2 linked regions of the Coturnix japonica genome follow. The protein of the gene in region 1 interacts with the protein of each later gene in a biochemical or structural test. Links are inferred from orthologs where the notes say so. Each region holds a gene or a part of one and is shown on either strand. Other genes may lie near its edges. The genes, in order: MIB2 and CYLD.

The links.
Region 2: of the proteins of MIB2 (region 1) and CYLD, one has a biochemical effect on the other in vitro, tested with the Homo sapiens proteins (2 studies listed by BioGRID, with this or other methods). The link is inferred for Coturnix japonica from reciprocal best matches to the Homo sapiens genes MIB2 and CYLD.

What each region holds. Positions count from the first base shown.
Region 1 is NC_029536.1:1,724,070-1,727,882, forward strand, and holds the end of MIB2 (E3 ubiquitin-protein ligase MIB2), read right to left. Parts: intron 3,319-3,813; coding exon 3,140-3,318; intron 2,957-3,139; coding exon 2,772-2,956; intron 2,358-2,771; coding exon 2,292-2,357; intron 1,574-2,291; coding exon 1,332-1,573; 3' UTR 167-1,331; downstream 1-166. UniProt on the Homo sapiens protein: E3 ubiquitin-protein ligase that mediates ubiquitination of Delta receptors, which act as ligands of Notch proteins.
Region 2 is NC_029526.1:5,132,371-5,136,823, forward strand, and holds the start of CYLD (ubiquitin carboxyl-terminal hydrolase CYLD), read right to left. Parts: upstream 2,860-4,453; 5' UTR 2,788-2,859; intron 1-2,787. UniProt on the Homo sapiens protein: Deubiquitinase that specifically cleaves 'Lys-63'- and linear 'Met-1'-linked polyubiquitin chains and is involved in NF-kappa-B activation and TNF-alpha-induced necroptosis.

The sequences.
Region 1 (3,813 bases):
CATGTATAAGAACCAGAGCTCTGACCCAGGGCTTTCTCACAGCACTAAGGGATGGAGAAGAAGAAACAGCCATATCCATAGCTACCACATATTGCACAAGGATTCCATCCATTCAAATACTTGCCATCTCTTTGCTAACGAAGAAAGATAGCAGAGGAACACAGTATTGTTGGTTGGTTGGTTTTTCTTTTCTTAAATAGTGCTTGCAAGGTATAACAAACAGCATCACTTGTGTATAATTGTGTCATTAAAGATGTACACCACACACGCAAACACATATGGATACATACACACCCTACAGGTGGCCACTTCTGCCAACAGTAACTTTACAGGACAGAATCACCAGGTAATATTTCTTCAGTCAGACAGTTGGAAAACACAAGTACAGCCAGATCCACATTTCAGCTACTGTTTGTACATTCATTTTAATGCTCAGGAAAATATAATTTTATTTTATTAAGTTCTGCTGCAAAACAAAGAAACGAAAACCGAAAACCCTTCTCATTTCTTAATTATGACTCTGTTTTTCTTTACACTTTGATTGGAGCGTTGAACACCTGCCTTTGGCATCATGGTTAGAAAGCTCAGGAGTCTCTGAACGCACGGTTGTGCAAAAAAAGAAAACATGGAAGAGTGTCACTTAGAGAAGTTTTTGTTGTAACAACGTATTTTCTCCAATCAGTGCTCACTACTTTATCTCTAAGGCACACACACACTCTGTCTCTAGGATCTCATCACAGCCACATTTGTCTGTCAGTCCAAATCTCGTCGAGCCTTCAAGTGCTCGTTCAGAGAGCATGCTGTCGTAGGACATGACCTCCCTACCACTGACAGGCAGCAAGGAAAACCAATGGCCACGGCTGATCTCCGGTATCTCCTTGCACAAAGCACAAGCAAACGCTTTACCTGCCGAGGTAGAAGGTACATCCTCCTACAGCATCGCCTTCAGAGCAACGAAAGGCTGCAAGTCTGACACTGCAGGGCACTAGACACGATGCAGTCACTGGAGCACTCCAAACTCCAAACGTCTGTTGGCCTCTGGGCTGAAAGTCTCTTCTGCCTCCAGCAGACAGCTCAGCGTTCTTTACTTCGTGTCTTTCCAAAGGACAGGCAGCACAAGGTGAGGTGGCTGCCTGCCCTCCAGCACCATTCCTTGCCCTTACAGTGCTACAAGTGGAGGACACTCCCACCCCTTCACCTAAGTCACATTTGTTTCCCCCCCTCTTTCACAATGGCTTTGCAGGTAGCCAGACCGAGCAGCGCTTCTCATCTAAAATGCAAACAAAAAGGATGTAAAGGAGGTGGGAACAGAAAGGGAAGCAAGCATATCCTTAGACAAAGATCTGAATCCTCTCCCGGATAGCCTGCCGGCAGATGGGGCACACAGTAAGGGCTGTGCTGCAGTCTGGGCAAGAGCCATGTCCGCACTGGAAGACCAGTTTGATTTGGTCATCGATGCAAATAGGGCAGGTGATGCGCTCTTCCATCTGCCGGTAGCGGTTCTGCAGCTCCTCCATGAGCTTCCTCTGATCTGTGGATTCAGAGCTGGGGCTGCACTCCACCTCGGTGCTGTCTGCAGGGGTGGGAGAGCAGGGAGAGTTAGTTGCTATTGTGCTCTGTCTCATGCAGTGTCTCCTTAACCAGACTGTCACTCCAAGAGCAGCAGTTTGTTCAGTCCTTATCCAGGGATTCTGGATAGCCTGAAATGATGCTTTTTATCAACTGGCCAGTGGTGCTTTCCTCTCTTCTGCTGCTTAATCCAAGCTGTCTGATACTTCCTGCCTTGCTGCTCTGCAATATGTTGGTGCTACCTTTAAGTAAAAGCTTTCAAAGCTGGTTATGACGTTTTGCCACACAGTCCATGAATCCTCACACTGATGTCAGTACTGTGTTCTTTCAACCTCCTTGATTACACTTTGGATTTAATTTTCCCCTTATGTCTTTCAGGACACACGAGGTATGAAGCAAGAAACCATCTGACATCACCTACATCAACATGCATAGAAGCAGCTACACGAAGCAGAGTCCTACAGTCAACACTATGCACAGAATTCAGTGGACCTTAATGAGATCCTTGGACCCTGTTCCTCTGTGCTTTTGTCCAGGCATCAGGACAGAAAACCTGATTCCATGAAGGACGAGTTTAACACTAATGCTATGGGTACCAGATCCCCTTTCCTCCCCCACTCCTGCAAAAAAAATAAGTTAACTCTATTTCTTATGTTTTGGGCTTTTTACCCCCACTGAGAACCACTGATTGCTGCTGGGACAAACACGTACAGCAAACATACCTTGCTTGAGTTTTTTGGTTATTGTCACTTGACATTTGATGCACTTCTTCATTCTTCTGGAGCATTCTACCAAAATGATAGAAGGAGTGATACAATTAAGCCCACTGCTGCAAGAACAATAGGAAGACAATAGACTCGAGAACATGGCCTGAGGACTCCCTGGATAATCAAGAGATGGAAATCAGGACACTGCCTTCTATTTTTGAGCTACATCCTCGTCTCTCACTTCAGTCTATCCTATGCAGTAGCAAACACAACACGACTTCTCAATGCTCTGTGTTGCCAGAACTGCTGTGCTATGGATGCCATACAGCTCTCCATTCTGTGGCTCTGGACACTCCATCTACAGTGACAGTGCTGAAATCATGCTGGGGCTGTTCCAGCTCATGGACAGCTTTGCATCCCAACAGACTCTGATTTATGAATCAGGGAGGCTACGTGGCAGAACAGGAAAGGAAAAGAAAGACAGAACGGACTTACCCTCACACACAATGCTGTGCTGGCATGGGAAGAAATGGATGAGCAAGGCCAGCTCTGAGCAGACCAGGCACTCTGTGGGGACTGCCACACTTGAGACACTAAGGTTGGTCATTGTGTTGGGGGTGGTGTGCACGCGGCGAAGGCTGCAGGTGATGGCTGAGCAGTCTGAAGAAACCTGCTGTTCCCTGCAACCGAGAACATGTAATCAAATTCAGTGAGCTGATAAAATCGTTTTGATCCCTGGCAAACAATTCCATGTGAAGACAAAAATGCAGATGCTCAGGTAGCACAAACTTATCAATCTTCATTGCACTAGTGAGACCAACTCAGCCTCCTGACAGGGAGCTATTCCACAGGACACTGTTTACCTGAATTTCTGCGAGAAGTCTTTGATGATTTGGACAATCCTTCCGTCTGTAATAAGGTCTAAAGGAGACTTTCCCCGATGGTTTGCATAATTAATATCTGCTCCTTCCTGTGCTAAGTAACACGCAATTGCAGTCCCAACATTCAGCTCTGTGTTTCCAAGAAAGCCAGAAGCCTGCAGCTAAAATACATTAAGAAACACACTGTTAATAGAAAGATTCTGTTACGTAGCTGTACCAAGTTTAAAATTAATCATCATAGTGACTATCTGAAAGCACAGTTTTGCATTCACAAAATGCAAGATGATCCTTCAGTGTATAAACAGCAGATTCAAACCTTGTGTTCCTGGAACAAGTGGGCATAAAACAAGTCCCAACTGGTACTGATCATTACTGCCCATAGTAAGGGGTATTCACTTCTTCAGTCAGCAGACAAGAGCTACAAAGTGTATATTGAAAGCACCACAGTGAATATCAGCTGATGGGCAGCTGGCATGTGGAACCTGAAATGGTAGCTATTTAAAAGGCCAACCTTGTGTGCACATGATCCCAAACTCATCTGAAGTCAAAAACAATTTTCTGCTGACATGAAAGACATGGGCATGTCCTTCAGCCATGGCCTGATATCATACATCCATGAATATGGTGTAACACAGATAAATCCAGTTCAGGCTTTA
Region 2 (4,453 bases), on another chromosome or scaffold:
AATTTCTATATCTCCAGTATTTCTCTTTCCTGCTCTTGCAATCTACACCAAAAGAAAGAGACAAACAGTAGAGTATCATAGCTGTTAGGAGTATCATAGCTGTTAGCAACCCATCATGATCTGCTTTCCCTGCCATTCAGTCGAAACAAACAACACACAATGCACCAGAGCTTTCCAGTAGGCTCTTACTCTTCTCATTGTCACTGACACTTAGCTCTGAAGTATACAGAATCCAAGTATAAAATCGCATTTCTAAAAGAAAAGGCCAAAAAAAGCCAACGTTGCCCAACCAGCATCTGCCCAGCATATTTAACAAACCACAGGCTGCATGCAAACAAGCCAGAATAAAATTTAAATAAAATCTGGGCAGATCATCTTCCAGAGTCCACAGAGAGTTGTACTACAATCTATAGAGCTTTGCCCCATTTCCATATCAATTATTATATCATTTGGGGCATTAAGTAGATAATGCTGTTTACACAACTTTCTAAAATAACTAAAGAAGCCCATGAGGATGCCTAGTTACTTATGAAACATATGCAGACAAGATGCTCTCTGTGCAATGCAGCATCTTGTTTACAGGGAATCCTGTGATCTTTATCACATACTTGTTATTAACTGCTGTTATCTGCTGCATCACTGGAGGATAATATTTGCTTTTCTGAATCTTAATAAGGCTAAATACATTTACTGAATTCAACAGTTACATACAAGCAGCATGGGAGTCCAGCTCAGGACACAAACTGGAATCTAGAAAGGTTTTGTGGCCCAGACAGCAGCTGAGCAAATCAAGACTGTTTATTTTTTATTAGATTGAAGGCAAGAACTAGATGTGTTGAAAAACTAAACCCGGATGCAACGGTGTAAAATACTCAATGTCAGCTCCCATCTGGCTGAGGTGAGAACCCCAAGAGAACCAACCCGCTGTTTGCATTAAGATGACATTGCAGCATATGTTCATCATGCTTAGCGTGTATTTGCTATATATACAGATATGAAGACACTCATTTCATGTCAAAGCAGTGACAGTTTAGAGCGAATACACCTAAATAAATTGTTATAACATAATTGAGAGCAGAATAAGCTCTACTGTCCATATGAAAATGCACACACAATCTCTATAGACTGTGGAAAGGCAGACAGACATGAATTGATGAATGCACAGAGCAAACAGATTTGGGTGTTTTGATGCTTAATAAATATTTGCCAGACATTTTAGGAAACTCAGATAAAAGCTACTTTTCAAAGAACCTCGTGGTAATAGATGCACACAGTTTAAAACACGTAACCTTCTATCAGTAATTCACACCTGTATGTCTGTGGCTACTCAGGCAAGGAAAAATAAAGAGAAATAGATGGCCTGCTCTGATCAACTGATTTCTTCAAACGACTGTCGTCTAAATGCTTTTCACTCCGAGCAGTGCTCAAGTAGCCTCAGAAACCCAAAACGAAGCCCCAAATAGCTTTTCCCAAAACACAAGTTTCAATCCCAACGCCTTTCCTTGGTTTCTTAACTTCTCCCATCTGCCTCCACCCCGCGTTGCCACAAGATGGAGCTGCAGCATTTGCAGGAGGCAGCGCCTCTGCAAGCGTGAGAATGAAAAATAAACTTCTATAACAAACAGAAAGGATCGAATTGCTTGAAATTAAATAGATATCTATATACATACACACACCTCAAGCCTGATGTTTACATTTTAATACGATTAAACTAAATATATACATGTATCAATTCCATTGTGAGCTCAGACTACAGTGCCTAGCTCTCTAGCTGTCCTTCAGGACAATTTAACAGAGCCCTTTATCAGCCAGCAAGCTCTATGAGCTGGCTGGAAAGCTGAAAGGGAAAACGTTCTTGCAGGCTTTTAGACCTGGTGAGTTCAAAGCCAGAGTCACTGCAGCGCCTCAGTTCCTACAGTACCTTTTCCTTCTGATCAAAAGGAACTAAGTAAAACTCGCAACTCTTAAAAGAACTATCAAATAATGGGGGGAGGGAAGTAAAAATAAATGAACCCATAATGCCTTCTGAACAGTGCCGGAAAAGCTTATTGACTCCATCTTAGGTAGCTGCACTCCCAGTGGGGAAAACGAGAGCTGAGCACATTTTGATTCTGACTACTGTACAATACTTTGAAGTACCAATAATTTATTCACATAAAGGTGTAAATATATCCTAAACAGAATGCATTTGTAGCAACCGGACAGATCAATACAACAAGAAAGGCATTACAACAGTGGTGTGATGACAGAAGGACCAGCACAATAGAAATCTACAATAAAAGAAGGGAAGAAGATTGCTCACCTCTATCAGAAGATTCCAGCTTCACAAGGGAAAGCTTCTACAAGGAGAGACCTCCAACCAAAGACCCTTTCCCCTGTGACAGTTAGTTTTTAAATGAGGTCTAAAAGAGGTGCAGCCAGGCTCCACCCCTTCTGCTCACACAGCTGAATTGCCTTCACCTGTGCTCCCAGGCCTGAGCAGGTCCTTATCACAGGTGCTCAATCAGTGCTTCAGGCCATGACCAAACAGTTACCACACAGCACAGAGCCACAAAACTGTTTGAGTTGGAAGGGACCCTTAAAGGCCAACTAGCCCAAGTCTCCTGCAACGCATAGGGACACCTACAGCTCCATCAGATGCTCAGAGCCCTATGCAGCCAGGGATGGGCAGGCACTGCTTCTTTGGGCAACCTGTTCCAGTGCCTTGCAATATATACACATCTGTACAGTTGTAATTATACAAAGGTGAAATAGATGGATAGACAGAAGTATATAGGAAAGACTCACCAATGTTGAGGCACATGGTCGAGATGCTCACACATTTTGAGGCTCACTGTAGAAACTCCACACAGAAACGACCTCTAGAAAGAAATGCTGCATTAGGGGTGGTCAGCCCTTAAATGGGATCTAGGAGACATGGAGTCAAGCTCCACCCTTCCAGGAGAACAGCTGAATTACCTTCACCTGTGCTCCTGCAGCTGACCCATCACTTGCCTCAGATGGTTAATCAGAGGTTCAGGCTGTGATTAACAGTTCCCCATACAACATCTTATTTCAAGCATTATCCCCTTGTTATTAACATGGAAGGTGAAGACACATCGACTAACCTTGGGCTGTTGTCACCATTCATCTTCCTACAGCTCCCTCTGTTGTGTTGTGATCTTTCAGGTTGCTGGGATAACCAGGACCTGGAGGCTGCCTTCCCCCAACATGGGTGCCAGACCAGAGCTTGAAAGCAGCCTCCCCTGCATCAAGATTTTATTTCCCCAGAAAGGTTTCTTCCAAGGCTACCTGCTTTCAAAGGTGCTTAGTAAACAGTGTGAGGCTGTGCCAAAATCTGTCAAACAATGCCTCTCAGGAGCTAAGATCTTTGAAGGGGATCTCCCTCTCTTCTATTCAGCTTCTTCCAGAAACCCTGGAAGGAAAAAAAATAAGGACAAGACCGAAAGAGAGAAAAAATGATGCAATCTCCAAAGATGAGATTTGGCTGTTTCTGTCACTTCACCTTACCTCCAGGAGCAGCAGCTTAATATGTGCTGAGTTAGCAGAGGGGGTTTCCATGGACTCAGTCATAACGTACAGTGCTTTTATAGTGCTTGCCATGTTCAGAACATTTTATATAAATACCAGGCCAGATTAATCCAGGCTTTAAATCTGCATAAACCTTGGCAGAGGGCTCTGGTGCCCATGAGATTATGAAGTCTGCCGTGAAACTAAATTGTGATGATCAAAAGAAGAGACTCAAAGAAGGCGCAGCCAGGAAGAGAAGTGTGTTATTTGGAAATGATGAAGAGAGAAATCTGGGAGGAAGGAAACAAATGGGTGGGCAAGGAGTAGAGCTCAGTCACATGACAGATGGCCTCATTCTCAGAACTGATGCTGGCAAACTTTGGTAAAGGAAGAACATAAGTTTATTTTTATTTACTCTCCTCTGGAGAACAAAGGGTCACGGGGATTTGAAAGGTAAAACATTAATTCAGAGAGAATGACAGGAAAAAGAAGCAGATTTGGTTTATGCACTTACATTTCTTTTTATCTTGAGGAGTTATCACAGAGGACACTTGTTTACCAGTAAACAATCAGTGGTATAAATTATGTAGTCTTCCCAAGCAGCAGTGAACCCTACTGACTTGTTCCTCAATTTATACGCTCCCTGCGCATCTGACTGGCCCACATAGCAACTGTAAGGAGCTTGATTTGTACTGTAATATCAGAATGCATTTTAAATGTTAAATCTATTTAGAATTATGATTTGACATGCTGTGAGGTAATGTAATGATAACTGACCTAATTTGTCAAATATATCTCTTGTATAGGAAAGTAATTCATGTCCAGATGCACTCAGCCTATCTGCTGCCACCACCTCAAACCTTTCAAATGCCTACACTATGAGGCAGATAAGGATCCTTTATCTGATCTCAGCAGTCTTCCTTATTGCTCCCACCCTGTAGCA